Linked DNA regions of Drosophila melanogaster. Changing the gene in region 4 together with the main gene of any one other region gives a genetic interaction. Each region holds a gene or a part of one and is shown on either strand. Other genes may lie near its edges. The genes, in order: egr, rpr, p53 and Dronc.

Region 1 (9,572 bases), on a different chromosome or scaffold from region 4:
ATTTTTCTGGCCCAAAAGGGAAAAGCCGAGAAGGCGGAGAAATCTCTTAAATTTCTGCGCGGAAAGGATGCGGATGTGAGCGGTGAGCTGAAGGAAATGAGCGCCGAGGGCCAAAAGGAGAAGGCTAGCGTTGGGAAAATCCTATGCCGCAGGATTACCCTCAAGGGGCTGTTCCTCTCCATCGGTCTCATGTTGTTCCAGCAGATGACGGGCATCAATGCGATTATTTTCTATTCTACATTCATCTTTGAGACGGCTGGATCGACCCTGGAGCCCAGAATATCTACAATTATTGTGGGCATTGTGCAGGCTATTGCCACTATCATTTCGATCCTGGTTATTGAGAAAGTCGGTCGGAAGATACTCCTATTGGTGTCCGCCTGCATGATGGGTATCAGCACCCTGATCATGGCTCTTTACTTTGGCATGTTGATGAAATCTGGAGTCGGCTGGCTGGCCCTAATTGCCGTTTGTGTTTTTATTATTGGATTCTCCCTGGGATTCGGTCCAGTTCCCTGGCTGATGATGGCCGAGCTCTTTGCCGAGGATGTAAAGGCCCTAGCAGGATCGATTGCCGGGACTACAAATTGGTGTTTTGCTTTTATCGTGACCCTTCTTTTCCCTGTTCTTAACGATATTATTGGAGCAACCGCGTGCTTTGCAATCTTCTTCGGATTTGCGGTGGCCGCCTTTGTCTTCATTCTCTTCCTAATTCCCGAGACAAAGGGAAAAACGCTTAACGAGATTCAGGCCAAGATGGGCGAGAAGGCCGAATAGTACTTGCAATCTTTTGATATCATCAGGGATTCAAGTCTATGGATCTCTGACCAAACTTTTGATAAATTTTCGTGGAATTGGAACTGAATATTTGTACCGTCAAATGCAATCAAATGCATTTAAATTTATGTCTTAACATTTTTCTACATGATGTTATTATGAATAAAATGCCACCTCTTGACATTTTAAGTGTTGTGCCGACTCACCATTTCGCGCAACGTATTCCTTGCAGATCCTTCAATCCAACTACTTGAACTACTTGGAAAGAGAAATCGACACACACTGCACTGAAATCAGAAACGAATTGCCAATTGCCAGGCTCTATATGCAAAATAGATGCGCTTTGACTTCGTATGCAATCGGAGGGTAAATAGCAAATAAGTCCAGGTAAATAGTAGAAAGCTTTCCGGCTGACAGGATGCCATTTCCCCAGCAATTTCGGGCCTGGTTGCGATTTCCCGACCAGTGCGCATGGCACACGGAACATCTGACGGGCGCTGCAGCTGGGGGTTATGTACACACGTTATGGCCAGGCCAAAAGCACAAACCAATTCCGGGAACGAACTGTTGCTCTCTCCCATCAGCAGGACCCCAATTCGAGCCACCTGTTACTCCGCCCGCCCGACAATCGGCGTGCATACGCCCCACAATCATATCCGGAGTTCCCCCTCCCAACCACTAGAAATTTGTCTTTGGCTGAAGATGGGAAAACAAAAATAAGTATTCAAAATGTATATATCATTTTGTCATTTTCAGGTATTTTAAGCTTGTCTTTAAATTTACGACATGAACAGGTCGTGTGACGTGTAGTCAAAAATGAATTGTTGTATCCATTCTCATTAATCCTTGCTAATTGTTGTCAAGGAGTATACACTAGAAAACACCAGGTACAACTAATTGATTATTTGATCAATCAAGCTTAGCATGAAAATGCCACCTCAACATTTTCTTGTACATGACGTCTGCAAGACTGATTTGGTCGTCTTACCGATGACTGTACTTTGGCCCCTCCTTCGTGTCCAATTGTCCGAATTCTCGGAACATGTGGGTAAAAAGATTTGAAGTTCGGACTTCCTTACTCTCCTGTGGTTTCCATGACTATGACGATGGCGATGCAGATGTTGCCCGGGACAGACGCTCGAGCTGCAATACAACTCCCGGTCCGGATATTATCCAGTTGCAAAGCAATTTCCCTGCCCTTTGACCAAATTCCATTCAAAATTTTTAATAAAGACCATAGTAAGCTGGAATTGCACAAATAAAGCTGAGGGATATCTTTGAATGGCTCTTCATTTGAGATTTGAATTGAAAGCATTTGAAGCATTTTGAATCGAATTATACTAAGAACGAATATTCATTATTTAGAAGATTATAATATTTTCAATTGCAACTGGTAGCAATTGATTCAATTGATGTTTCTTAAACACGCTTACACAAGCGGGTAATAGCTACATATATTTTTATTCACTTTTTAGAGTCGAACGAGTATATACAAAATAAATATGATTTTCCTCCGTCTTCTGACTAATGCAGTATGCACGATTCCGATTGAGATTAGGTTTGGAGTGACTAAGACTAGGTACTACGAACTAATGGATTCACGCTGGCGATGAATCGCATTCACGAGCAGTCGCGGGGACAAAAGCTTAAACTGGTATTCCATCTTCTGACCGGGGATAATCTCTCCAATTTACACCTTGAAGATGCCAAAGTAGCTTCGGTTGTTTCCCTCCCGCAGAACTGCATTGCGATCGTTGTGAATGTCCTTCAGATGGATCCTCTCGTTTCGTTCCAGGTGGATCAGACCACTCGTGTGGCAGGTGTGCACCTTATGTGGCATGTTGGTGGGCACCGTGTTCAAGCACTGCAGGAATGGAGTGTCTCCTTGAAAGACGATAAATCCGTTCTGGTCGTGCGAGTTGTTGTAGCATATCTGGGCGTATACGTAATATAGGCCTGTATTGGTCACCGTCAAGACGCCATCGCGCGTTTGAAAGTGTCCCTGATAAGAGTTTCTCTCGTTATCATTTCCTATGTACATATCTCCATGGTAGCCTGAGAAATTCAAGAAGTGACTTCATTAGGTTGCCTGTAGTACTTGTATGTACACGCTTGACGCGGAAGCATCTCCTTACCCATACTTCCTTGGTGACGCCGCCTGCTGCTCAAGTGGAAATGGGCTGCTGGCCTCGAGTCCTCGGATCTGGCTGAAAGAAGAGATTCACCTGCAAATTAACAGAGGTGCGAATAGAGATTTGGTATTCGATTTTTGCCAATTGTTTCGCTTTTCTACACTACACACCTTTGCGGACTAGGAGGTGGCGATGGCGGGAATGCATTCTGCGACGGTGGTGAAGTGGTGCAGGGCTTCAAGTAAAAAGAAAATGTATACATATGTGTTTCAGTTACGCAGTTAACTATCTATCTTTAACCCATAGCATATAACTTCATTAATGGTTTTTCTTGCCTGTTTTCAACGGAACGTTCTACTTACCTCTCTTTGGAAGTTGCCTCATTGGATGACTTTTCCTGAAGCTCTGTGTGATTTCCTTGAATATTCTGCTCCTCATTGCGTACATCGGCAATCGAGCGAGATTTTCTGTGAAGAGGAAAAGCAGAGGCTTAATACGATAAATCCCTGAAAATTTCATCCGTGCTCACCTCTCCTGCTTCTTTTTGTGGGCATTGTAGCTGGTAAAGTCATCGAACACATTGTCATCATTTGAGGCTGAGGATGCACTGTCCGTCTCGCCCTCGCCCTCAGCAGTGGTCTCAGATGTGGGCGTGGTGCCGGTATGTGCATTGTTGAGTTTATTTAACATATCGGTGTAGTCCTCGTAGTCTGCGCCAACATCATCCACAGAGCTATAGCTAACGTCGTCGTCCTCGTCGTCCGCAATGGAATCCAGACCATCGCCATCGTCGTCGTCCTCCTCATCCGTGAGGCCATCCACCTTTTTTGGATAGTCGATGAGGGCATTCTCGTACTGCAACGAAGGGATGGGCATCAGCATTTTGGGTCAGAAGACTTGGCCAAGTACGTGACTGCAGCTGGCACAGTCCTGGCACATATCTCACATCCATTTGGGACGTTCATTTTTAGACACACGCCCGCAGCACAGGCTGTTTCGTCATCATCCTAATTGATGGCGCCTCGCTCAAAAACATGATACTCGTATACATATACTTGTGTACATCATACATATATTTAAAAGCGAAGGAAACTCTCAAGAGAATTGGCACCACAGATGCCCAGCCATCAAAATATAAATAAATCTTAAAATCTTAAAACCATCTCTGGCCATTAGGCCATTTGATGAGATTCGATCAATCGTCACATACAGCCAAAAGCGATCGCTCGCCTTGAACGACTATATCTACTGATAGAGCCTAGTATTTTTGTTGAATTATTGGGGCTTTTACCTTTTGTCACTTGGGGATTTGTATCTCATAAATTACGTGAACTGGCTGGCGCCTCATATTTGAAATGAGTGTTTCCTTGCGGAAAGAGACATTATAATTCAAATAATCTATCACAATTTTCTATGTGCCTTTGGCCAAGCAGCTAACAAAAAAAAATGAAACAAATAACAGATGAAACAGCGTCGAAATTATATTTTAGCACATAATTCTATAAATATTTTTGTATGTCCCACACAATAACCACATATTACGTCTGGTCATTTTTTTGAGGCATTCTTTTTCAAAAACAGGCGCATGGCTTACCGACTGTGAGATACCCTAGCCAGAGTTTGCCATCATAAAATGCAAATTACCCTTTAGGCAAAAAGAAAACTAAACATAATAGATACTCAATAACAAAAGTTCGATATACCCTCATTAAAAACTCAAGTACCAGCCTCAAGGAATAACAATCATTTCCGACTTTGTAAACAATTCGAGGTATCTGTATTTGCCCGGGGCAAATGTTACAGCCCCTGCCCCATCGCCGAGTACAAATATTGATGCTCGAAAGTGATTTACGCAATTGCTCACCTCCTTTTGGAACTCGTCGAACTCGTCCAGATAGTTTATGCCCAAACGCTGCTGGAGATTATCGACGACTCGCTTCAGGCTCTTCAGCTCCTTGTCCAGATGCGATACACGCGTTGTCTGCCAGATCTGCAAGATAAGATAATTCAATTGTTACACACTCATTCAGGCTCGTTTCTAATCATCCGCTCATTAGCAATTGGGCAATCAATTTAACGTAGCCCCAATTAAACATCTATAGCTGGTGCTAAGGCCCGGCACATCATATAACACCCAGTGCCGCGAACTTTTGACACCCGAAAAATATATAAAAACTAACTGAACAAACTGATAGAGGCGAGACGAGAAAGATTTCGTGGGGAAATACGGCGGGGTACGTACGATCGCCACTCAGCCACATAATCTGCTTAATGGATCATTAACATTCGGGCCGAGCAGAGGCCTTATATACGGACACTTCTCAAGTCTCGACTGGCAGCCGAAATCGAAAAGAATGGCTCAACTTAAGCCACTGTACGCGCAGACGGGGAAATATACACATGTACATACATGTAGGTACACACAACAACTTGTACTGAATTCTTGTATAAATTATGGACTTTACGCAGACCCAAGAAACTTGTTTAAGTTTCCAGTGAACCACTTTCCATTAGAGCTTATCGGCGATCAGTAGATCGATCGCAGCGCCTGCAGTTTGTCACTTTCTTAGAGGGCCCCAAATGATGAGGGTTACTTTGTACGAATGTCAGTGAAATTGAATTAAACAACGAAAAATGCTTCATGGCTTAACGGAGATTTATGAGGAAAACCGAACTTGAGGCCCACGTCAGTGGCTGAAGCCAATCATTTACAAGTCAATTGTCAATTGTACGATTTCCGTTCACTTAAGCCAAAGTTGAGTGGGTCATGGAGGAGTCCTGGGTGAGGGGGGGGGAAATGGGGGTGGGAGAGAAGGACCAGATTCAAGTCCACAAACTTAATCTTCTGCAATTCAAATCCGGATTTCAGCGAGCACACTCATTCGCAAAGTTATCAGGGAAAAACATGACACAACAACCCAGTCGAAGATTTATCGAATGCATAACAGAACGGACTCAGTGGCATTTAAATCGGTTGAACAAAAACAAAAGGGAAGAACAGACATGTACCGATAAACATTTCTCTAGCATCTGCATCCGCTTTATTTGGATTAGCTGGATCATTAGGAACCGATTTGGCCTAAAGACGTGTCGGTGATGACATCGCTTGATCAGCCAAGAAACCGCCGTTTTTCCCGCTCTAAATATAGTTTCATGCCAAATTATAGTTAACCTATCTGCGACGGTCACGGATCATAAAGTCTGTTTTCATTTCAATTTATGCATCCGCGGAATTTCGTCTTTAATTTGGCATCAACAAAGACTTTGTGACAAACAGCTTTATAAGCCGAAGCGTGCCAAAGGTTAAATATTCATTTTTAGATTGCGATTTCGGGGGTGTCTATACACATACGTTGTTAAAGTCCAATTTGCATTTATATTTATTCGCATTTTATTTTGGCAAGCTACTGAAATAAACATTTCCGAAAAATAGGAGTCTGTTCAGAGTCTAGAAGGCGGTTCATGGCTGAATGGAATCTCTCTGTTTTTATGCTTTCATTACTTTATTGGTGCAATCTGTTTTCCAGATAAAACTAACTGTCGTTGTGATGGTTTTTGGAGAGATAACTAAGCAAAATTATAAATTAAACTACCAAAATAAAACACTAAAAACACAATAAAACACAAATTCTACAAAAGTCTAGTTTAAGAATCAGTGTAATACCTTTACACTCGTTTCGAAACAGTCATTAAAACGGCCATATAATCATGATTGGCCCACTTTGGCGCCCAAAATATCATTAAACAACATAGCCCATAACAACTCATTCCTATCTATATTCTGGGGAAACTCCCACCAATAACTGATATACCCACACCTTTGGAATTCCGACGAATCATTAATCGCACACAACAAACAAAAAAAAAGGCATTCAAGTATGGAATAGCTATTTCAATTTGGAGGTGACTACTTTAATCTTTTTCAAATTATATTCATTAACTAAATCTATTCAGCACATTTGACGATTTTAGTGTGCTAAAAAACATTAAAAACATAAAATGCGACTGAAGAGATTGTACGACGCTCAAACACACATAAAATATGTTATACTATTTATTTATTTGTAATTATTTCAATACTAAGTATGATTTGTGCCACCTTAATTAAACATCTTTAAGCATGGTTTGTTATCTTAAGTAGGCAGATAGAGACGCAATGTTATCAATTAATAGCATCTTAATGAAAATTTTGTAGTACGATTTCATTCAGTTCAGAGTCTAATTGGTGTGTTTAGAATCGCGATAGTCGATCCAAATGGGCAATAATACCTGATTGGGCTGCTATTGGGTAAATGATTGTGAAGGAAAACTTACCGTTAGTGCGAGAATGGCAACGACCAGCCCCAGACCGATGAACCCCAAAACCAGGGGGATCAGCTGGCGGGTGCGTCGCTGGGCGGTCGCCGTGCTGGTCGCTTTGGCCGGAAAACCATCATCGTTGGCACTCGTTGGCGTTATAAACGGCTTGAGGGTCTCGGCAGTCATAATTGATGAACACTGGGGATCTTAGAGCAACCGGGGCCTCCAGATGCTGATGCTGATTCTGTTGATAATGACGACGATGATGATGATGACGATCTTGCCCACCCACTCAAGGGCACTCGACAGCTGTTTCCAATCGAGCTTTGTCGCACTTTATATGAACACACTCTATGTATTTAAGATACTACACGAGCACACAGAACAACCTCACAGACAGCATGAGATGATAAGCTGCGACATCTATATAGATAAACCCCTCGGGCTGCTGATGGTGCCCTTTTCAGATTGTATTACCACACTTGTTTTGTCTACTGCTTGTTTTTCTCTTCCGCGATCGGCAATTAGCAAAAGAAAAGCGCGAAAACAAGTTTCTCAAGATATTTTCTAGTTTTATCAGTTCTTGTTTGCGATAAAGGCACAGCGAAAACCAAAAAAAAAAAAAAAAACACAACACACAGTGGACGAGTTGCACTTATGTATTTTTAGTAATTTGCCCGATGGCGAAATTCAATCTTGGTAAGTAGTTAACTGAAACGGATAGCTTTTTTTCTTCGCTATCATGCACGCACGCGCTTGCTTGGGATCTCTGATTTACCGGTTTCTTTTCTCACTTTAAACGTCCGTTCGCGTCGACGATTCGAAAGAGAATGAATTTGAACTGAGAACGGGAGCGTGAACTGAGGGAAAACGAACCGAGCGGCACTTGATTTCTCACGTTCGAGCAGGCAGGCGAGCAAGAGGGACAACGGATTGGCACCGTCTCCCTCGCTCACGTGGCGAGGATGCGCGGCATACTTAAGGGCGCCTGCGCTGTTTACTTTGTGTAATTAATTTTTGGCAAGGTTCTCCCGGGGTGGTGTTTTGGTGATACAGTGGGCTCTGGCTAACAGGAATTAAATTAATTATTATATTTCTACAATTTTACATGTACATATGTATATGTAGATACGATTTTTATTTATTATAACAAATTATTTGTATGAAACTCATAATCATGGTGTGCATAAGAAATATTTACAAAAATATGATTTATAATATGATATAACACTAAATAATAGTTCATATAGTCTAAAGTTGTTAACAATTTAACAATGTTATCATAATTTCAATATCAAATTGAAATGCTCAAATAACGAACTTTAATAACATTTATCAAAAGAGAAGAAAATAGTGTATCTAATTTAGAATATTGGATGCCATATTGAAGACCATCTCATCGTTGTTTTTAGCCAAGACAGACTGTACTTGGTTCCGATTTCCCTTGCACATATGGCGATCATAAGTAGCAAAGCGTGTTTGACTTTTTGCGCAGTGTTTTCCACTGCTTTTATTTCTTTTTATGTGTTATGTGCACTTAAAACCTCCCCCTGTGATTTATAGGGGTTGCTCGATTGCTTTTTGAAATCGGCACCACTGTAAGCGGCTTGGCTTCGCATCCCCGGGTTTTCGCTTCATTTTCTTTGTGTGGCTGCTTTGTTCGAGCTCCCTTCATGACACTGACATGGAACAGATCCCCGATCTTCGATTCCCGAGCCGCAGCTAATTGAGTTCCGAAAAGTGGCGGATCGTTGACAAACCCATAGATAAGCCAAATGAACTTTTAGCATTTCATTAAAATCGTATTTATTATTACTTAGACCGACGATCGGGGTCTGTCAGCGCCGTGCCTAAGTACGGGTTCTAATTACGGGTAGCGGGGTAGCCATAAACCTAATGCTGATCCGATCCGATCAGCCACCGTCGCGACAACTAGTCTGCCGAACCGGCTGCCAAACAGACCCGTATCGTAAATCCGCCCAAGAGTGTCGTCATTCGGCAGAGATGCAAATGTCGGCGTTGGTCAGCTAATTAGTTTCTAATCGTCTGCGACAAACAGGTAACCACAGGTAGAACTGCTCAGGCCGTAAGAGCGGGGATCGGATGGCACACGCTTCCGGTGCACTTCTTAACCCATTAGTCGTTATCTGTTTTCGCATTGTGCAAGACCACATTTTTATTTATAATTTTCAATGTTCGGAAATGGTAAATCAATGATTTAAAATTATATACATATACATATGTATGTACATTTGTATATACAATAGTTTTTGAAAAGCTTCTATTACTTTTTTGTGTTTTGTATCTTACTTTTTTGTATTACATCATTTGTTTTATATAAATTCAGTTGTGAAAAGCTTAATT
Region 2 (5,070 bases), 8.4 Mb from region 4:
AAATTATCGCTAAAAATTTGCTTTCATTTGGGAATATCACGTTGGATGCCTCATGAAATGTAAAGTGAATTTCTGGAATCCCAATCAGAAACAGGATCGGCAAACTTCCGGGTAGATCGAAAATTCGATTGACACACTTCCCAGGAATGAATATCGTATCATGTGGGTCATTTAACATGTAGATTGAAAACTCAATCGAAGAAACATAATCCAATTTGACAAACTCAATAGGCCACAAGACACAAGTTAAATTGAAAGTCAGGCAGTTATCTATGCAAATGATATATGGGTTATTAAACAAGTCGAGATTCGACTTTGCCTGTTGCACCCCAACCGGAGGCATGCATTATTTGAATAAAAATGACAATAATTACCCGCATTATCCCTTAAGAAAATACAAGTACCCAAAATCGTAGATAACTATCTGTTACTTTGAAAATATCGCCTCATTGGGCAATTAGAGATTTAGATCAGAATCTTAAGGAAAGAAAAACTGAATGAAGTCTGTGATAAAGGCCTTGAGAGGATAATCATCGAACTAATTGACATTCGACAGCCTCAATTATGACTGATGCGCAAATTACCGCAGGTTACCGCGAAGGACATACATTTAAGGGATAACGTTAGCCATGTTTCGGTTAACTTAAGGCCCTTTCTGGCTCCACCCTTCTTGGCAATGATTCAGCTACATAAAAAAGGTCCCAACCTAAACTCCGCCCCAGAAAACGAAAGCAGACCCAAAACATAAATTTCCAACTTGAACCACATTGGTCGTCCCCCAAAACGTGCGAAAGAGAGGGAATGCCCATTTTTCGGCTTCCTCTTTTTGCCCGCTGGAGCAGAAAACGCTGTTAGAACGTAAGCCACGCCCAACTGTCCCGGATTTATATATGTTGTATGTGTGTGTTGACGCGAACCCGGAAAGAAAAGACTCATGAAAAAATAACTATAGAGTCGAATGGTTCTGCTGTGCGACTAGGACGGCAGTGTGAAAGAAAGAGAACGAGCACGCCCGGCCGAGGAAAGTAGAGTAGTTCCTTCAACAATAGACCTAGACATCAGAGCTGTGGAGAGGTGGTCGCTATAGACGATGACGCAGAACATCCCCCAAAGTGATGGCTATTCTCTATCACAGTGGAAACACTTGAGACGCACGTCGTAAGATTCGGCTGTTTGCCTGTGTGTGGGTACGGTATTACGGTACTACGGCTTTGTGGGTGGAGTTTGAATGGAACTTAAAACTCATCGCGGTTCTTTGGGTGGGGTAAAAGATTTTAGAATTATGCAGGTGGAGTTTCAAGAGCTAATTTTCTATTACATATATATATGAAATTTATTTAAACATCATAACGAAATTAAGAACAAAACAATAGTATGTTTATGGGTAATCCGACTTAGATACGATGAAAAATGATGAAATATGTATTTACGTCATTAAAGAGAAAGTTTCAGTTGAGATTTAAAATGTAAACGACCTATATATAATAATGCAGAATATATATTATTAAAGATAATTTCAATAAGCTTCCTATATGTTGGAAGAATACATTGTTCGGATATCATATCCATCAGGAAGGCAATTAATAATACTTTAAGCCGCAGGGAAATTTTCGTGTATGATTTCCAACGAAAACATTCATATCGTATCATATCATATCCGTCTGGTTCCGCTCTAATGAAAATGAATAAAATTGCACACGAAATATAATGGGACGAGCCCATTGTTGTCAATATACTGTATATGGCCTTTAATTTATGACATTGTCATAATTCTTAGTCGGAAGCTTCGGATGATTGTGTAAACACTTGTAGAGCGCGAGATACTGATAAAGAGGGATCTATCTAGATATGGCAGGTGGGCTGGTCCATGGAAAAGAGAGAAAATAATTCAAGAAATGGAACGGAACTCTTCCTTGCCCACTTGCCCATATTTCAAGTGAATCCGCCTCCCACTTGTTATAATACCCTTACAAGAAGCTATTCTGCTTAATTATGTAAATAGTTTGTACTTTAAATGTTGTACTATTAATAGCATCAATGTGTCCAACCTAAAAAATATTGGTTTTATTTTTCCATCATTTTTAGTTGGAATTTTCTTATTAATTACAATTCAAGAATTTAATCATATTATAGAAAATATACTGGCGGTAATAGCTAAAAGGACTTTTTGCTGATTGACATAGATGAAAATAAATATTTTTAATATTTAAGAAATGAAATTCGAAGGATTAATATGAAACCGGCTAGATGGTTGTACTTGGCTGTTATCAGGTATCCGGCTTAGTTTAGTTGCTAATCACTAATGGGTAGCTAGTGTAAATAATGTTAATCTTAGAGGGTATTCCAAACTTTAGTCGTGAAGCAACTCTTGTATGTCTTTCTCTGTCGAACTCCTTGATGAGAAACGATTGTCATGCCCCGACGATTTAATACAATTAATATGCTAACTGTACTTCTCGCCGCACACAGTTACAACAAAGGCGCTGCCACCAACCTGGCAACAACAACACAACCTCATACAAAAACACGCTTGGCAACAGGCGCAAGGTGGCCCCGCCCCCGCTCACGATGAAAAGTAGTACTTTTTTGGGAGCTGCGAATGAGACGATGTCAACAGAAATACCAAAACAAAAAAACCCCAGCCAGAGAGCCGAAGAGCGAAGAAGGCCAAAATGAGCAGCCACCACCAGAAAAACAGAGAACAAGGCGGCGTGAGAGAACCAGGTATAAATAGCCTCGGAGCACTACTCAATATATTCAGTTGAAAAGCAACCATCGCAGCGAACGCATCTCGAAAAAATCATTGAATAAGAGAGACACCAGAACAAAGTGAACGAACTCGAAAATACGAAAGAAAAGTGTGTGCGCCAGCAACAAAGAACTAACTCGATAAATATTCATTGTGCAGAAGAGAAAGTTATTGAGTCACTACCAGTTGTGTAATTCCGAACGAGAAGAAAGATAAACCAACAATGGCAGTGGCATTCTACATACCCGATCAGGCGACTCTGTTGCGGGAGGCGGAGCAGAAGGAGCAGCAGATCCTTCGCTTGCGGGAGTCACAGTGGAGATTCCTGGCCACCGTCGTCCTGGAAACCCTGCGCCAGTACACTTCATGTCATCCGAAGACCGGAAGAAAGTCCGGCAAATATCGCAAGCCATCGCAATGAGGATTCGAGTAACTAACAAATACGGGGAAAACCAATAGTCCAGTCCAAAATCCAGAGTACAAAGGAAATAAGCATGAGCCAACCCAAAACCCAAACACAGTCACCACTCATCAGCCGACGGCACTCGATTTCTACTGCAGTCAAGGACACAGAGCCACAACACCCACCCAATTTTAGTTTACTCATCAAAGCGATTGTGATAATGGTTTTGTTTCTACAAAAAAGCGGAGGAAAAATTTGAAAAAATAACGTTTTTATAAAGTCCCCAATTTTTTACAAAAATGTTTCAATGATATAAATCAACTTTTTTAGAAATAATTTACTCTTAAAGCCTATTTAAATGAATTACTACTGTAATAGTTTGTAAGTTCTTTTGTAAGACGAGTTTTTCTAAGTTTTTTTTAAGAAGAAACCCCAGAAAAAAACGAAGATGAGTCGAAGTTGGCTAAAAATTGCATCAATTTTTTGTCAAACAAAAAGTCAATAAAACAAAAACAAAAACTAAAAAAATTGTTGGTTTTTCATTTACTTAAATATTTTCAGATTACCATTTATAAGATTTAGATACAAAAAGCGAAGAAAGCCTAAGATGATGTCTCGAAAAACTGAGTTTGGAACAAGCACATTTTTTATTTCATTTCGCCGACGGTAAAAGGAACTTTCTAGAAGGCTGTTTAATAATCAGTGAAATTATCGGTGGTTGTGAAAATTATTTTACATGTGTTTGGTTAGGAAACGTTAAAGATTTTTTTTTGTTTTGAAAAAGTTTTTCATTTGATTTCCGGCGTTCGGTGACAGAGTCCGCTTTGAAATATATCTTAATAAAATATTAAGATTGATATTGCCGGAAATAATAATAATAATAATAATTATAATAATAATAATAATTTAGTTATAATAATATTAATGCAAGCTAATTTCTTGAATTATTGTAGAACGAATATAATTATAAATCGGTATTACATATAATAGAATCTTAACCACATTATTTTTAGTTTTGATATAAACTATTTGTTGTAGAAAGTTAAACCACGTTTTTATTAGTCACTTTCCAGACAATAGATTTATTTAAACTTCATTGTTCTTTAGTTTTCGATATCTTATCGATATGTATATTTAGACATGGCTAGATCAACTCCAAAAACTGGAATATTGTTAAGATCAATCACATCAATTGAATTAGGATATGTATGAATATTATAATTCTATATAATAATACCACTTCTACCATTAGATATTTTATTTTTAATATAAAAAAATGAATTCCCAATTTCTTGGAATGTGCAAAGTTAAGGGAGAATGAGTCTTTTAGTCCAACTTTTCCACTCTGAGAAAAACTTTTCAGCCACTCCGACAACATTGTTCAACACAAACGGCAGCAAGAAAACACACAAAGAAAATTCAATTATGCAAAAAGGAAATACAAAAATATTTGCCAAGATTTTTCGATGCAGAAACTTTGTAACAAGAGAGAGCAGGCGGGGGAGTTGCCCCTACGGCAGTCTTGACATCTTTTCCCCTCTATAATTTCAAAAAATTAGGTGCTAACAAAACAATTTGCATTTTTAAGTTAATTTTGGCAAGCGCCAAATGGCAGGGAAAAATTCGATGTGCAATTCTTGAGGGTCTCGTCATCAGCTCGAAGGATATGACTCTGTGTTCCGCGAACGCGGCCAGGACTTTTAATTAAACTTTTGCACTTATGCAGCTGCCATATCCTTGCACATCCTGCAGTTCAATTCACTTTGATTGCCCGAAAAAAGTTAATAAAAGTTGGCAAAGCTCGCGCAAAAAGAAATCAGAAATTTCACTTTGCCAAACAAAACTAATTAACGTTAAACAGATAAAACTTTTGCCCACGCCAGCCGGAGTGGCATATGAAAAATAATTAACACAAGTT
Region 3 (8,966 bases), on a different chromosome or scaffold from region 4:
GCCCAGCCGTGTTTGCTTTCCCTTTATCTGGTCCGTAAAGATGGGGTATCTGCCAGTTTAAAATGATAAACAACTGCTTGAATATAGTATGAGTCTTAATATCTTCCCGAAATAATTATGTAAATTATGAGTCACTGCCTCCCAGTGTGCGCCACTTTCGAATTGTCAACCTTTTGGCACCCGCCAATCAAAGAAACGTATTTAATTGGGCTTCTAAGGCGATTGCATCGCTTGGGAAAAGTGCACTGAAAAAAATATATACTGAAGTATATACAGCTGTGCTTATTCTGAGAAGTGGGTGATATTTAATTTTAGTGGATTTTATTTTTACAACTTTTGTTATCAGAATGACTTGTTTGGAAACCTCGAATAAATAATTAAACAAATTATGATACATTTATATTTGTTCTTTGTGCTTTAAGTATTACAGATATGTTTGCGTACTTTATTATTCTGTTACACAAAGCCGCATGTATGTTCCCAGTGCAGAAAGGTCTCTCGAACTCAACTCGTATCCAAAACCACTTTTCTGTGCGCTCGTCCAACGAGAATTGAGTGAGTTGCTCCGCTGGGTTTTGAGCACTTTGAACGACCCATTTTCGTGGTGCCAAACTGGTAGTGGAAGTGGCAGCCGGTCGAAGAAGGACAGGCCCCAAATGGAAGTGAGTGCATCCGCTTTGGCTGAATTTTTGGACACAGAGGCTATCATTCCGTTACGATTAGGGCGCACTTAATGCCCCTGCCCTAGGTCAATGAACAGCGATCGGTGGGCTAGAGTAAACATTTAGCTGCCGCATGTGGCAAAAGCTAAAGTCGCCTGCAGCTGCAGCGGCACAGTGTCAACATCTGGTGTTTGTTGCACTTTTTTGCATCCTCGCACATGTGCAACGCTGGCGCAACGCATGCGCCCTGCTTGAGGTTGTTTTTTTTTTTTTGAAAGCATAGAACTAAAACCAAAGACGTGCAGATACGGGTATAAATAAAGTATGTAAATGCGACGCAGCAATTTTGACATATTAGCAGCTAGCTAGCTGAGTTGCATCCTGAGTGCATTGACCGCACACAAGCCACACATGTCACATAGCATGTGCTCCACGGTGGGGGTACAGTAGGCTCTGGGCATTGGCGTACACCACGAGGATATGTTTGCAAAATATGACAACTCTTTAATAAATTCACTTTTGGCTTTTTTGTACAGAGTATGTTTGTTGTGGTAGACAAAAGTTACGTAGTCACATAGAACTGCAGTTAACAACAGTATACTATCAAAAATATAAAAATGTTTTCTTTTCGGCCATCGAACATGCCAAAAGGGGAATATCACCGTTAAACGCCTTACGAACAAGGACTAATACAAACTTAAGATACTAATAGCTATGTAGTATACCCCACAGATGCAACACATTTCAAAGGTATCTGATACCTGGGAGATTGTCGACCAGATCAGAAGTCATGGCAGCTCGTAGGCACGTTCTGAAAGGAAAGTTCGGTAAGTAAAGCTTAATCTCTTTGTCCTCCGATTCACTGCTTACTCTTAAGGCTCAGCAATTTGTTGGCATGGCGACGTAGATTCTCTTGGTTGGGATTGCGCAGGACTTCAGCCGCCGCCTCCTTAATCATGCCCTCGATGCTCTGCAGCAGCCATTCCTTATTGGGGCACGTAATAGCCAGACGGTAATCGCCATCCGGTGTCCGCGACACGTTCCACTCTGCGGCGGAGTCGTCGCAGTCTCGGCTATCATTGCTCTCCGTGTCCTCCGTCTTTATAGCAATGCACCGACGCACCTTGGACGGCTCATCTTCTTCGGCGGCTTCCGGCACGGACTTGCGCTTCTTGCTATTGAGCTGGCGTTCGTCTTGGATGCGATCCCGCTTGGGGCACGTACATATTTTAACATGTATAACATGCTGTCCCACGATATCGCCGCTGCAAGAAAGAAAACACGTTAAGCTTTGTTCTAGCCATCTAGAGTTTTGCTGTCACCTTACCATGCTTTCTCCAGGCAGAAGACTAAGGAAGTTTCTTTTCGCCCGATACACGAGTTTTGGCAGACGAACTTGAAGGCCAGGGTCTGGCGCGTGAGCCCACTGCGGGTTACAGACCGGCTCATGTTCAGGGGGACTACAACGGAAAAACGCTCGGAAATTCCCTTGCCCTGAGCATTTCCACAATATACACTGTTGGGATTCTCGCTGCGCAGCAAGCTCTCGCGCATTTTTGCGTTATTGGCCGTCACTAAAGGTTTGTACAAATGATAGTTAAATAATCCTGTTCGATCTGTATTGTTATCTTCACTTACAAGGCTCAACGCTAAGGTGATTTTGACAGCGGACCACGGGAGCACTCACATCATTGGAGAAGCAAAGGAACACACGCAAATTAAGTGGTTGGATGGGCATTTTAGACTTGAACTGAACGTCCACGTTGAAGGCCTTGTTCATCCGGATGTAGAGCTTGTTCAGCGGAATCGAGTACATCCAAAGAGACTTGGGCGGCTCATCCAGAACCATGCTGAAGCAATAACCACCGATGTTGTGATTCTCTAGCTTGGGCAGCGTGTTCGCCTGGATCTGAATGTCCTGCAGCATCATTTCGCGCAGCACGGATTGCTGTAAGCAAAAACAAGATATTATTTGAATGTCAACTTAACTCGCAATCATATAAGGGTTCACACTTTGCGCTCATAGAGCTGATAGAGCTTCATGTTCCAGCTTGCTCGAGTTACAAATGGACTGGCGATTTGTTTTGTATTCTATTCTATTTTTCACAAGTGCTTGAAATTCTCGCTAAACGATGACGACGGGAAGGAGTGCACCGTGCTAATCGGCTAGATAAGAGTGTTTTGTTCTGTCCTCCAACTGAAAGTGAACTTCGAAGCGACTTTGACGTCATGTCGCTCTTATGAAATTGCAGGCAGCGGCTGAGTCACGCAAGGAATGCCGCTTCCCTCACGCTTCTTATGCTCTTTTGTTTGTGGCTAGTAGTAGCACAACGCATGCTCAGTTGGTTTCTGGACGGCCGGTGAAATACATGCGTTTCGCGATGTGTCCCGATAGTGTCCGGCTACTTGACAGGTCCTCTAGATGGCATCAGTTGGGTAGTTGGAAAACAATTAAGCAGATATTAATGCTGTGGAAAGTGCGCTCACAGTTTGTATTAATTGTTCGAGAGAAATGGACTTCACCAGCGACTACGCGCATCGGCGTATGGTGAAATTTCTGACGATCATACTGATAGGCTTTATGACCGTCTTCGGACTCCTGGCCAATCGATATCGGGCGGGCCGTCGTGAAAGATTCCGCTTCTCAAAGGCAAATCTGGCCTTTGCTTCGCTGTGGGCAATTGCATTCAGCTTGGTTTACGGGCGGCAAATCTACAAGGAGTACCAGGAGGGTCAGATCAACCTGAAGGACGCCACCACTCTGTACAGCTATATGAACATTACGGTGGCTGTTATTAACTATGTGTCGCAAATGATAATCAGTGACCATGTGGCCAAGGTGTTGAGCAAAGTGCCCTTCTTTGATACCCTAAAAGAATTCCGTCTGGACAGCAGGTCGCTGTACATATCCATCGTTTTGGCTCTGGTCAAGACCGTGGCTTTTCCTCTAACAATTGAAGTGGCTTTCATACTGCAACAGAGGCGGCAGCATCCCGAGATGAGCTTGATCTGGACCTTGTACCGGCTGTTTCCCTTAATTATTTCGAATTTTCTCAATAACTGCTACTTTGGCGCAATGGTGGTGGTGAAGGAGATTCTGTACGCTCTGAACAGACGGCTGGAAGCGCAGCTGCAGGAGGTGAATCTGCTGCAGAGGAAGGACCAGCTAAAGTTGTACACTAAATACTACCGCATGCAGCGATTTTGCGCCTTGGCGGATGAACTCGACCAGCTGGCGTATCGCTATAGGTTGATATATGTGCATTCGGGAAAGTATCTGACCCCAATGTCCTTGTCCATGATTCTGTCGCTCATATGCCACCTGCTCGGAATAACGGTGGGTTTCTACAGTCTGTACTATGCCATAGCGGACACCTTAATCATGGGCAAGCCGTACGATGGTCTTGGATCGCTGATCAATCTGGTTTTCCTCTCCATCTCGCTGGCGGAGATCACATTGCTCACGCATTTGTGCAACCACCTATTGGTGGCCACCCGAAGATCGGCAGTCATTCTCCAGGAGATGAATCTCCAGCATGCGGACAGCCGCTACCGTCAGGCAGTCCACGGCTTTACTCTGCTGGTCACGGTGACCAAGTACCAAATTAAACCCTTGGGCTTGTACGAGCTGGACATGCGACTGATCAGCAATGTCTTCTCGGCGGTGGCCAGCTTCCTGCTGATCCTCGTGCAGGCCGATCTGTCCCAGCGCTTCAAGATGCAATAGCTAATCGATGTTACCCACCTGGCTGAACTGCATCAGATTCCCGGACTGCGGGGAATAATATTAAATAGTTAGTAAGCTATAGCTTTGCACATTAAAAGCACAACTCACGTTTAATCCCTGCAAGAAGGCCATGGGTTCCGTGGTCCTGGAATAATAAAAACAATAATAGTTAGCAACCAGGCAAACCACATGTGACCACGTGACCAGGTACTCACAATTCCGATCCCGATACCTCCACCGTTTTCGGAATATCCTCCTTGATATCGACCTCCGTGGAGTCATCCTCGGAATCAGTGCTAAAGTGTAAAAGGGAAATAAAAACTTAGTGGCAAACTGCGCCTTGGCTGGATAAACAAACACAAACAAGTTGGCCGCGCGAATGATGCAAGTACAAGCGTGTTGCTACATGCAAGGTTTCTACTGTTCGATCATCAATTTGTTGCCGCACTGTACCTTTCTTTGTGCCACGACATTGGCTGTGATATATACATCTTAGTCGGCTATATCTGATCAAGCGATCTTGTTGGGGAAGGAGGCTAAATATTAAAAATTCGCTAACAAAAAACTACAGAATCGTAGTGGCCACCGACTATTTGGATTTTGCCATTCGCCACGCAGCGCGAACAATCGCCGTAGCCAATGTTTATCGATTGGAGCGCGTGTTTTGAATTTGCTCACCCCTTGTGGCAGACGAATTTGTTGCATGCATTAATTTTGTTATTGCCATCGGAATTATTGTTGGCCAAAATTTCCAGATTGTTCGTGAACTGCATCATGTTGTTCGTGTTGTTGCCTCCGTAGGCTGGATCCACAGGCGTAGCCAGGTGGGCATATTCGTTGGATTCGTTGCCAAAACTCTGCGGCAAGTTGAAAGCTCCGTTGCTGGAGACCCGAACTGCTGACTCTGCAGAAACTTCGTTGCCGATATCCCAAAAATCCAGGAACTCCTTGAAAGCTTCAAAAATTGTGCGACTATTGCTACGCGAAACAATCGAAGTGTTTCTGCAAAAAGGCGCAACATTATTTTGTTGGGTAAGACCGAATAAAATATCTCCGCTCACTGGTTAAAAGTCAAGCTAAACGACGCGGACTTGTGAAGACTCATGGCTGTGCACTCAAATAAATAAATTTTATTTAGCAGTTGCGATTTGTGTCCGCAAGAATCTTCCGTGCTCCAGGGATGTCAACTAACCGGAAATTGGCTAACTTAATGTCATATATCCATGGCTATCGATAAGCTATCGATAAGGATTTGGCCGAGTGCGAACAGTGCTGCCCATTGTGCGGCAAGTTAGAATTTCTGTTTTGAAATTTTTTCAATACTTCAATCTATTTATTAGTTTGCAAATAACGCGCCGTATGCAGCAAATTGGTTTCACTGCACAGCCCTTTGAATGGTCGAGCAATGTACCGTATGATTTCTGGCTCCTACAAAAAATTAAGTTTTATTTAATGGTGAAATTCCAAATTTTAGTCAAACTAAATTTCAATTAAAACGCACGAATTATACAAAGCTTAGGCAGCTACGGCATACGGATATATTTACAATTCTAAAAATGTACATAAAGCGCTACTGGCACAAAAGTCTTTCTCTACAGCAGACATATGATAATGCAGCTCTAATATTTCTCAGTCGTCACTTCGCTCGGCGGCGGCGACTCATTTGTTCGATTTTGAACATCGGTCACGGTGGTGAGGTCAGAGCTCGAGGATTCCCTCGAATGCCTGGGGAGAAATGGAAAACAGCACAGCAATAATGATAAGTGTACAGTGGAGATGACATAATCGTAGATTAAGTATCATATTCACACAATGTTTCAATCACCTGTAAAACACATAGTGCTGCAGCATGAAGAACACATCGAAGAGCACGGAAAACAGACCCAGTCCGAATTTGGTGGGATCACCGAAAATCGACACCCAATCATCTGGAAACCAGACACGATTTCATTCGAAAATCACAAATTGATAGACTATATCCTACCGTAATTATGAGCATTCAGAATCATTTGCAGCATGCTCAGCGTTCCTCCCGTGAAATCCAGCAGAATGTTGCCGATGCTCCAGCCGGAGGTGCTCTTCCGGCGATAGTTCATCAGAGCTTGCGGCACGTACTTGATGATGGTAATGGTTAGCTTGACGTAACTGCAGTAGTACAGAAAGTCCAGCCAATGGATGACGGATCCTCCGGCCAAACCGGCAGACACGACGACCACCACGGCGAAGATGGCCAATATTCCGTAGGCAATGAACGACACCCTTTGCTGTGCTCTCTGGACAAATTTAACAAAGTATGGATGTTTTACAAGTCAAAACCTTATCTACTCTTCATATCGTAACTATCCGCTGTGATTCAAATGATTTGGCATTTTGATTGATGGCAATTAGTGTTCAATGCGACAACTGTTGCCACTTCGGCGATAAGGCTATTGAATGGTATTTGCTATATATATTATTACCTGATAGAAAAAGCACTGAAGGATCGTAATGCAGGTGGCGAACATGGCATGCAGTGAGAAGACCACGTCGTTGAGCATCACAGGATTCACTCCCAGCGGATATCGCACCTCGTACTCGTTCTGCAGATCCTCGATGAAATAGAGGCCGCAGTTGAACATGCTGTACAGGGTGAAGCCCACGATATTGAGGGCCAGGAAATCAAAGTTCAGTCCCTCGACGGACTTGCGGCGATAGTTGCTCCAGATCTGCGGATAGAAGGACACCGACCAGGCCACAAAGTAAACCCAGCCAAAGATGATGGAGGTGTAGATCAAAGCTCTCGATTTGGCCACAGTCACGCGTACGAACACATCCTTCACACTGGAAAATAAGTGAATTTTCCAATTAGGTACGGGAACAGTTGGGATTCCCGTGAAGTTACTCACATCTCTTTGTTCGCATCATCGCTATCTGCGACCACTTTGACGTTGCCGGCTTTGAGGCCAGTTATCACCACCGACTGATTTCGAGTACTGCCCGCTGGATACACAAACGTTGCGGGATCGAGGAGCAAATGATCCTCCGAATCTGTTCCCAGCGCAACTTCCACGTCGCTGTCTAGCAATCCGCTGTAATGGGCACAATAGATTTACGATGCCATATGTTTTGGATTTGGATTTCCCGGCAATGGCAACTCACTTGGCGAACACCAGAAAAGTCTCGTTGCTGTTCAGCAGAACGGTGATGTCATGGGAATCGACGGTGAGCTGACTGCTTTGGGCATTTCCCAGGGCAACTGTGGGCAGGAGAAATTCCCTCATTATTAGATCGCAATATCTGGATTGCGATATCTCACCTGTGGCCAGGAGGAGGAGCAGCAAAGTGGTCAGGCGGTGTGTGCTGAAATCCATTCTGCTTGCGTTCAACGTTCAACTTATTCATGCATGAGCATCCAGTCCTGCTGGCATCTTCTTCAATGAAGCCCTATATGGTATTGTATTGATTCAATTGTGAATTACTTCAATTGACCAATTGACCACGATCGGGTGAAATTGATATCTACTCGTAGGAGTATGGAATGCAATTCCTGACACCTTTTTTTTTTTTGCTTCTTAATTTAATGACCCGTGCAGACACTCAATCAATAAGGAATATAATATGATATAAAATGATATAAACATAAAACTATTTGTTCCAAAAAAAAAACTTGCAGTGCAAACTACGCACGCTCGCTTCATCTGGAATTCGTGTGTGTTTTTGTCGAGATAAAAGTCGGTAACCTTCATCAAATGTCGCTCAATGTTACAACTTTGCAATTGGAGCACACTTTCCCACGGCAAGCGTTGGAGCACCCATTTTATGTGCCTATATGGCCCAAATGGACGTAACAGGAAATACATGGGCTTTGTCGGTCGATCGTAAAACCAAAAGATTCCCGATTGTTCATACTATATTTTTTATATGGCGAGGGCCGTGACTTGGCGATTGCCAAGAAGTGTAAAACACCGCGTGAGAACGGGCTTATCTCAATCAATGGAGCTAGCTGATAGTGTCCGTCGAATTATTGCGGCAGTCTGCCACAAGTTGCAGATAATCAATAGATTGGGCAATGCACTGCGATTGCAATACTAATCGCAAGTCACGATCCAAATTTTGGTTCTACATAAATCAAAACTAATGAGAGTGGTAAACTACAAGGGTAATTTAAAGTTCGAACACCATATCTTTCACGATCGTTCACACGAATCTTCATGTTTCAACTGATATGCACCATAAGTTATTCACTAATTCTGTTTCAATTCTGGTGATAGATAAGACGATTGATTGGTAAAAAGGTCCATTGTTAGTTAACAGTAACACCCATTTATTCATTCATGATTCCACGCACGAGATACGCTTGTTGTGCGTCTGTTTGAGCCGGATTAGAACTTTCACTGGCATGTGGGCAAGCAGAGGCTTTTAGCCGCCAACTGCTAACGCAAAACATCTGTATAAGCCGCCGGATTATTGTGATTAAGATAATGCGGATTAGAACAGTTGTTTGCCTATGCTATATGCATGATCGCCACCCAACACATCAATTCACTCACGTTAAGAATGAAGTTAAATAATGTGTCCCAACTGACGATTGAGCGACT
Region 4 (6,679 bases):
TCCCGCCTGCGCTTTATAGTGATGAATCCCACATAAATCTATGTATATTCTATACCCATCATTCAATTCATTCAATATATACACACTATGATCAAACGTAATAGATAGCTCCAAAAAAACACCCAAAACTACTACTAAGGTGAATATACACGAATCCAATCCAAGGTCCACCGATCCGAAATAGAACCAGAGCCAGTAATTACTGAAGCCGCTGTACCCGAAGGCAATCTCAAACTCAATCTCAGTCTCACATTTATAGTCAATTTGTATAGTTGGGCAGCTATATGCGTAAAAGTGTGGTAATTGGTAATGGTAAACTCTTGAAACTTTATACATATAGTGAAGACTCACCAGTGTCATAGATGTATTCATTACGTAAACGGCAATTAAAGCGATTATTATCATTATTGTTGTGCTATGTTTAGCGGAGTAGAAGTGAAACCCGAAAAAAAATATGAATTTATATATGTATACAAAACGCAGCAGCAGCAGCAGGACGAACTCTATCTAGGACACATTAAAAACCACTCTACTTTATATACACATACTCGAATGATATGAATAAAAGTATGAATTACACGAACGGGAACGGGACAATCAAAATTCAAGCGACACTAAAACTAATTCTATATCAACTATCAACTAACAAACAATTGCAATTTTAAGTTACGTTGTTGTCGTTCGTTGTGTTTGTTCGATTCGTTGGATCTGCGTTTGGTTAATGCCAGCTAATTTGATCCTGAAACTCCAGCATATCCTTGCCATGCACCTGAAATTGCTTTGCATTTTGTTCGGTCCGAATTTGTTGTTTATTTATTTCACCTTAGACAAGCATATCGATATGGTTTACTAGCGTTTAATCGTACGTATATATAATTAGATTTACTTAATTTTAATTAATGTTTACGCGACAAGACAGAAACCTAAACACAAGAAACAAAAAAAAAAATTTAAAAATGAAAAAATTAAAAACAAAATCTAAATCAAAGAAAAAGGGGAAAACCAAAAGCTCAAACTGGACTGAACATTTAAGAGTTATATTATGTACATTATTGAATTGCATTTGATTGTGTGAAGATCGTTTTAGTGCTAGTAACTGCGCCTAAAACAAAAGGGTATTATATTTGTATTCGAATTTGTATGTAATTCTGATCGTATGTACGTTATGTTATCGTAAGTGTACCATCCTAGATCCTCTAATGAATTGAATTGAAATGAAGCCAACTCTGTCTCTTGTGATTCTATTGTGATGCTATGGGAGTCAAGCAGCACTCAACTGTTTTTATGCCTCTTAAAGTTTAAAACAAAGCTAATCGTAGCAAAACCTAAAACTAAACTACCTATCTCTACACTAGTCTATGCAATGCTAATTGGCAGCCCCAACAATTGAAAACAATCATGCACAATAAATGTTATGCAATTGAGAGAATCCAAAGGCCAAAGACCCACAACTTTTTCTTACACTACTCGAAGTAATTGTGTACAACTAAAGGAATTCTAGATTTTAAATGTGCTAAAACTGTTTATAGTCAAGTACTTAATTAAGAGTGTAATTATCAAATATTAATACGTACAAAGGTTGGGGCATTTGGCATAGTAATACTAATAATGTATAAACGTGGGATCCGATGATTTGATTGATGATAATGGAGCGGTGCAAATGCGTGTGACAATGTACGTATGTAACAAACAATTGAATTTAAATGTTTAATAAATGTGTGGAAATGAATAAATGCTCTGTGTGCTAAATTCCTCAATTACTCAATAACAGCCTCTACGTTAGCTTCTCGTCCAGGAATAGTGGATCCAAACTGCACTTTTGCCGCTGTTCCATGTAATCCAAAAACTGGTGGTCAAATAAACGCTGCCCCATGCTGCGTGCCACATCGTCGGATTCGTCGGTGTTTGCCTTCTCTATGAGCAGCTGTTGGCATTAGGATTTCCTTTTTTTTTAACTATTTTGGAAAGTTGATGCAGCCTTCTGCTCACCTCAATTTCCTTGGACAAAAATTCTTTGGTCGCATCGCTCATCTTCTTTTGCGGCTGGCCCATCAAAGCGTTTTCCAGAAACTTGTAGGCCTCACTGAAAGTACCACAATGCTAAATACAAATGTAGTTTATCAAAACCATTCCTACTTCAAGTCAATGCCGTTCAGTTCCGTTGGCGATGGCTTTGTCTCATTTTGGATTATGGAGTTCACAACGACGGCTGCTTCGAATTCGCAGAGTTCAGCGAGTTGCGAACTTTTCATGAGCTCCAGCCACTGGTTAATGTTGTTTAAGCTAACGGAGTCGCAGTTTTTCACCATTTCCTCGCCCTTGCCAATCATGTCGGCCACATACTCTAGAAAAGGGATTGGGGGACAATGTACTTTTATTGCATTATGCATGTTTTAAGAAAACTCACGGAGAATGCCATTCGAATTATTTTGATTTTGCTGCTTGGCTGCTTCGAGCAGGATTTGCTGTGAGTAGCCCAGTCTGTTTAGTTGCCTTTGCAGCTTAACTTTCACCTCTCTCGGAATCCTTGCAGGCTTTTCTGCGCCTTTTTGCGCGGAGTTTTTCGGTTCCGGCGTAAATTGTTGCTCCTCCTCCATTTCTTTTGTTTATGTTTACGGTTTGTTAGGCTGACCCCATATGGTATTTGGTATTTAGTATTAAATTGAATCATTTGATGCGGCAATGAAGGAATGGTGGAATAAGTGGAACATGGAGACGGTTCATGTCATGGATTTATCCCGGACGCGTTCTCTGGTTAAAATGGCGCACCCACAAGCAGCCACACCAATCCCAAAGTTTCATTTATTAGTTTAGTGGCGAGTTTGGCGGCGCGAAACGCTCGTTGGTCCTTTTGTTTCGAAAGAAATCCTATTCGAAGATCCCCGATCCTTGCTAGGATCATCTAGTGCAATATATAGACTAGTTAATTTACTTTTGGAAAAATAAGGACACCAGCAGGGCCGCCGATTTGTGCCCCTTTCTTGAAAGTCGCAAAACAAAAACAACGACGACAACAACAAAGCGGAGACAAAGAATCGACAAGTAGCGATAAACGAAATCATTCCCGGGAAAACCTTGGAGACGGGTGATTCACTGCCAATACCACTGCCAATTGGAGACTGATCACGGCAGCCATCCTTGGCGCGCCCAATAAGCGGAGTCACCGGAACGCGTGGAAGCCATATCCGGAATGCAGCCGCCGGAGCTCGAGATTGGAATGCCGAAGAGGCATCGCGAGCATATACGCAAGAATCTGAATATACTGGTTGAATGGACGAACTACGAGCGTCTGGCCATGGAGTGCGTGCAACAGGGCATCCTAACCGTTCAGATGCTAAGAAATACGCAGGATCTCAATGGCAAGCCATTCAACATGGACGAGAAGGATGTGCGTGTGGAGCAGCATCGTAGGCTCCTATTGAAGATCACCCAGCGTGGTCCCACCGCCTATAACCTGCTGATCAATGCACTGCGCAATATCAATTGTCTGGATGCGGCCGTTCTATTGGAATCCGTCGATGAGTCCGATTCAAGGCCACCCTTTATCTCGCTAAACGAACGGAGAACCAGCCGGAAGTCGGCCGATATTGTGGACACACCCTCACCCGAAGCCTCCGAAGGACCCTGCGTTAGCAAGGTAATGAAAATAAAATCATACGAAAGCTTTGATGGTGAAATTGCAGCTCAGGTCATTGACCCTGATTTCTACAAAAAACCGGTTTATGGCACAATTTATTTGCATTTTTTTTTTTAGGTTTGTTAATTGAGTTATTCCTATTGGAATGAGATTAGAAAAGGTATCTTTAAGAATTGTAAATGGACTCAATGATGAATACTACTTTGGTACATGTGCACAGTATTATTTGCTTCTCTTTCAGAAGTTAGTTCGTGTATGAGATTCTTGTTTTCCATTTTTTTTGGAAGCATGAATCACATCCATTCTACTTACCTATCCCAATTATTCTTTTAGTAGGATTTGTTTTTAACCAGAATCTTATCGCAATATTGCTGGCAGCTGTGTTTATATAGCACGAATGTTGATTACTTCTTTGTCTGCCACATTAACCGTGCAATGAAAATATAATATATATATTGAAAATCTTATCTTTATTGTAATTTGTTCTTTCTTTCTCTCTCCTACCAAAGCTCCGGAATGAGCCGCTGGGAGCACTCACCCCTTATGTGGGTGTCGTTGACGGTCCCGAGGTAAAAAAATCGAAAAAGATACATGGTGGGGATAGTGCCATATTGGGCACATATAAGATGCAATCACGTTTCAACCGAGGCGTTTTGCTAATGGTTAACATAATGGACTATCCGGATCAAAACCGTCGACGGATCGGAGCCGAAAAGGACAGCAAGTCGTTGATACACTTGTTTCAAGAACTGAATTTTACGATTTTCCCCTATGGGAACGTGAATCAGGATCAGTTCTTTAAACTTCTGACAATGGTGACCTCCTCGTCGTATGTGCAGAATACCGAGTGTTTCGTAATGGTACTGATGACACACGGCAACAGTGTGGAGGGAAAAGAGAAGGTGGAGTTTTGCGATGGATCTGTGGTCGATATGCAGAAGATCAAGGACCATTTCCAGACGGCCAAATGTCCTTATTTGGTGAACAAGCCGAAGGTGCTTATGTTTCCCTTTTGCCGCGGCGATGAATATGATTTGGGCCATCCAAAGAATCAAGGCAATCTCATGGAGCCAGTGTATACGGCGCAAGAGGAGAAGTGGCCTGACACCCAGACGGAGGGCATACCCAGCCCGAGCACCAATGTGCCAAGTCTTGCCGACACTCTGGTCTGCTATGCTAATACGCCGGGCTATGTTACCCACCGCGATCTCGACACGGGCAGCTGGTACATCCAGAAGTTTTGCCAAGTGATGGCCGATCATGCCCACGACACAGACCTTGAGGATATCCTAAAGAAGACGAGCGAAGCCGTGGGTAATAAGCGCACCAAGAAGGGTTCCATGCAGACAGGTGCCTATGATAATCTTGGCTTTAATAAGAAACTCTACTTCAATCCCGGGTTTTTCAACGAATAGTTGCCGCCACTGGACATTTTATCATTCCGGATGCATTTTTAACCGCATTTATGTTCTTATCGTCGCATTTAGTATGTCTTTTAGATTATGTGTTCTGTGCTCGCGTGCTATAAAATGTTTATATTGTAACAAATACTCATTCAAGTATTCTTCTAATACGTATTGCATACCTCATTTAAAGGTACGAAATTATGTAATTTATGTGATAACTGCCAGAAATCTACAAATATTATAATACAGAGTTCCAGTATATACACAGCCAGATTTTTGAAATCGAACATTTAGGCAAAATGTAAAGCAATTTTCCAGTCTGATTTTTGAGTGTGTACACTTACAAAATAAACGATGATATTTCACAACAAACCGCAGTTTGTATATAATTAAAATCTATTTACATTTCTAAAATTTCATTGGGACACTAATTATTATATAATATAATCTTAGGATCATACATTTTAACCTAATCATCCTGCTCATCCTCCTCCGCCAAGTGGGACAGTTGTAGTTTTCCCGCTGCACGGCTCTGTTCCGATTTGGTTTTGCATTTCTTTGGCTTATGCGGCTTTTGGCCAATTACATACTCAGGCATCACCAGCTTGGAACCTCTTAACTGCGGCTTATCCAGCTCCACATCATCCACCTCCTGCTGTTTGAGGCTCTTGAGCTTGCGGCTGAGTTTGCTGGTCCTCTTGAACTCGATCTTGCCATCTGTAGGTGGAGATTCGTTATCGACGCCCTCAGCCTCGCGCTGTGCATCCATTTGTCGCAGGAAGGACAAGGCGGCGGCGGAGTTGCTCTGTTCGGAAATGTCCACATCAGACAGGGAGTACTTCTTCCATTTGTGCGGGTTTACCTAGAGAGTAGGTCAAACGTTTAGGGTGGGGACAACTAATTGCAGAGGGATGGTCTGTCACCTGGTAATCTGGCGTTTTTCTTGGCTTCAAACAGCGTCCAATGGGGAGTTCGGGCTTCTTGAAAATGCTCTCCTTGCCGCGCATTCGTCGCAGTCTTCCATCCTCCGCATCGAGGCCAGTAACAATGCTGCGACCCTGGCGGTAGTTCATCACCTGTCCGGATTCGTTTCCGGATTTGTTTCCTCGATCGAGGGCATTGATGGAAAACGCCTTGGCCTTGCTCTGATCCAAGGCAGTTCCCCGCAACTCTTTGCTCGCATCGTCGAGACATGCGAAAAGAGCGTCTCGTTTGGCTGAAAATTCCTGCATTTTACTTAGTTAAACTGCACAAATGGCATTTGCTTAAATGCGTTGTGTTTGCAGAGGTAACTTTGTTTGCTGCAAATCAGCTGTTTTCACAGTTACCGTTTTGTATTTTCATCTAGTATTTTAGTAACGTGCAGTATTTTTAGACTATTAAGGCAGCTATTAAACCATTTCCTTTTCTATGGATTAGTCTATACTATGTGAGTTAACTGACATCATAGGGTTAAAATACTTTTTAAACGTAAATTAACAGATTTGAATTTATCCCATTCTATTTCAATATAGTAGCAGTATGATTGGTATTCTCTGCAAACTAAGATATCTTGGAATTTCGGCCCACGCAAACTCTGGTCAGACTGGTGCCGGTGTATAAACTTAGTGTGGAAGAAGTGTGCTCATTCGCGAAT

What was found.
Region 1: of Dronc (region 4) and egr, changing one suppresses a phenotype caused by changing the other (phenotypic suppression), as found in Drosophila melanogaster (3 studies listed by BioGRID).
Region 2: of Dronc (region 4) and rpr, changing one suppresses a phenotype caused by changing the other (phenotypic suppression), as found in Drosophila melanogaster (9 studies listed by BioGRID).
Region 3: of Dronc (region 4) and p53, changing one suppresses a phenotype caused by changing the other (phenotypic suppression), as found in Drosophila melanogaster (2 studies listed by BioGRID).

What each region holds. Positions count from the first base shown.
Region 1 is NT_033778.4:10,076,834-10,086,405, reverse strand, and holds egr (eiger), read right to left. Parts: upstream 8,041-9,572; 5' UTR 7,395-8,040; coding exon 7,224-7,394; intron 5,794-7,223; exon of another isoform or gene 5,712-5,793; intron 5,619-5,711; exon of another isoform or gene 5,482-5,618; intron 5,219-5,481; exon of another isoform or gene 5,081-5,218; intron 4,900-5,080; coding exon 4,774-4,899; intron 4,154-4,773; exon of another isoform or gene 4,084-4,153; intron 3,765-4,083; coding exon 3,439-3,764; intron 3,377-3,438; coding exon 3,272-3,376; intron 3,145-3,271; coding exon 3,080-3,144; intron 3,003-3,079; coding exon 2,913-3,002; intron 2,833-2,912; coding exon 2,468-2,832; 3' UTR 2,196-2,467; downstream 1-2,195. Other genes in the region: sut4 (sugar transporter 4), read left to right, coding at 1-777.
Region 2 is NT_037436.4:18,396,138-18,401,207, reverse strand, and holds rpr (reaper), read left to right. Parts: upstream 1-2,772; 5' UTR 2,773-2,972; coding exon 2,973-3,170; 3' UTR 3,171-3,673; downstream 3,674-5,070. UniProt on the Drosophila melanogaster protein: Activator of apoptosis, as well as grim and hid, that acts on the effector Dredd.
Region 3 is NT_033777.3:23,048,515-23,057,480, forward strand, and holds p53 (p53), read right to left. Parts: upstream 5,569-8,966; 5' UTR 5,495-5,568; coding exon 5,451-5,494; exon of another isoform or gene 5,392-5,450; coding exon 5,068-5,391; exon of another isoform or gene 4,881-5,067; coding exon of another isoform or gene 4,843-4,880; exon of another isoform or gene 4,686-4,842; coding exon 4,605-4,685; exon of another isoform or gene 4,535-4,604; coding exon 4,498-4,534; exon of another isoform or gene 4,435-4,497; coding exon 4,408-4,434; exon of another isoform or gene 4,402-4,407; intron 4,390-4,401; coding exon of another isoform or gene 3,175-4,389; intron 2,717-3,174; exon of another isoform or gene 2,706-2,716; coding exon of another isoform or gene 2,676-2,705; intron 2,611-2,675; coding exon 2,301-2,610; intron 2,237-2,300; coding exon 1,990-2,236; intron 1,928-1,989; coding exon 1,533-1,927; intron 1,474-1,532; coding exon 1,451-1,473; 3' UTR 1,143-1,450; downstream 1-1,142. Other genes in the region: Gr94a (gustatory receptor 94a), read left to right, coding at 3,175-4,389; Ctns (cystinosin), read right to left, coding at 6,009-6,114, 6,215-6,317, 6,374-6,662, 6,849-7,209, 7,275-7,457, 7,528-7,624, 7,685-7,739.
Region 4 is NT_037436.4:9,965,698-9,972,376, forward strand, and holds Dronc (death regulator Nedd2-like caspase), read left to right. Parts: upstream 1-2,781; 5' UTR 2,782-3,190; coding exon 3,191-3,637; intron 3,638-4,146; coding exon 4,147-5,052; 3' UTR 5,053-5,305; downstream 5,306-6,679. Other genes in the region: CG6685 (uncharacterized protein), read right to left, coding at 1,775-1,924, 1,990-2,083, 2,137-2,344, 2,408-2,597; CG6674 (uncharacterized protein), read right to left, coding at 5,513-5,905, 5,967-6,275. UniProt on the Drosophila melanogaster protein: Involved in the activation cascade of caspases responsible for apoptosis execution. Effector of steroid-mediated apoptosis during insect metamorphosis. Overexpression promotes programmed cell death.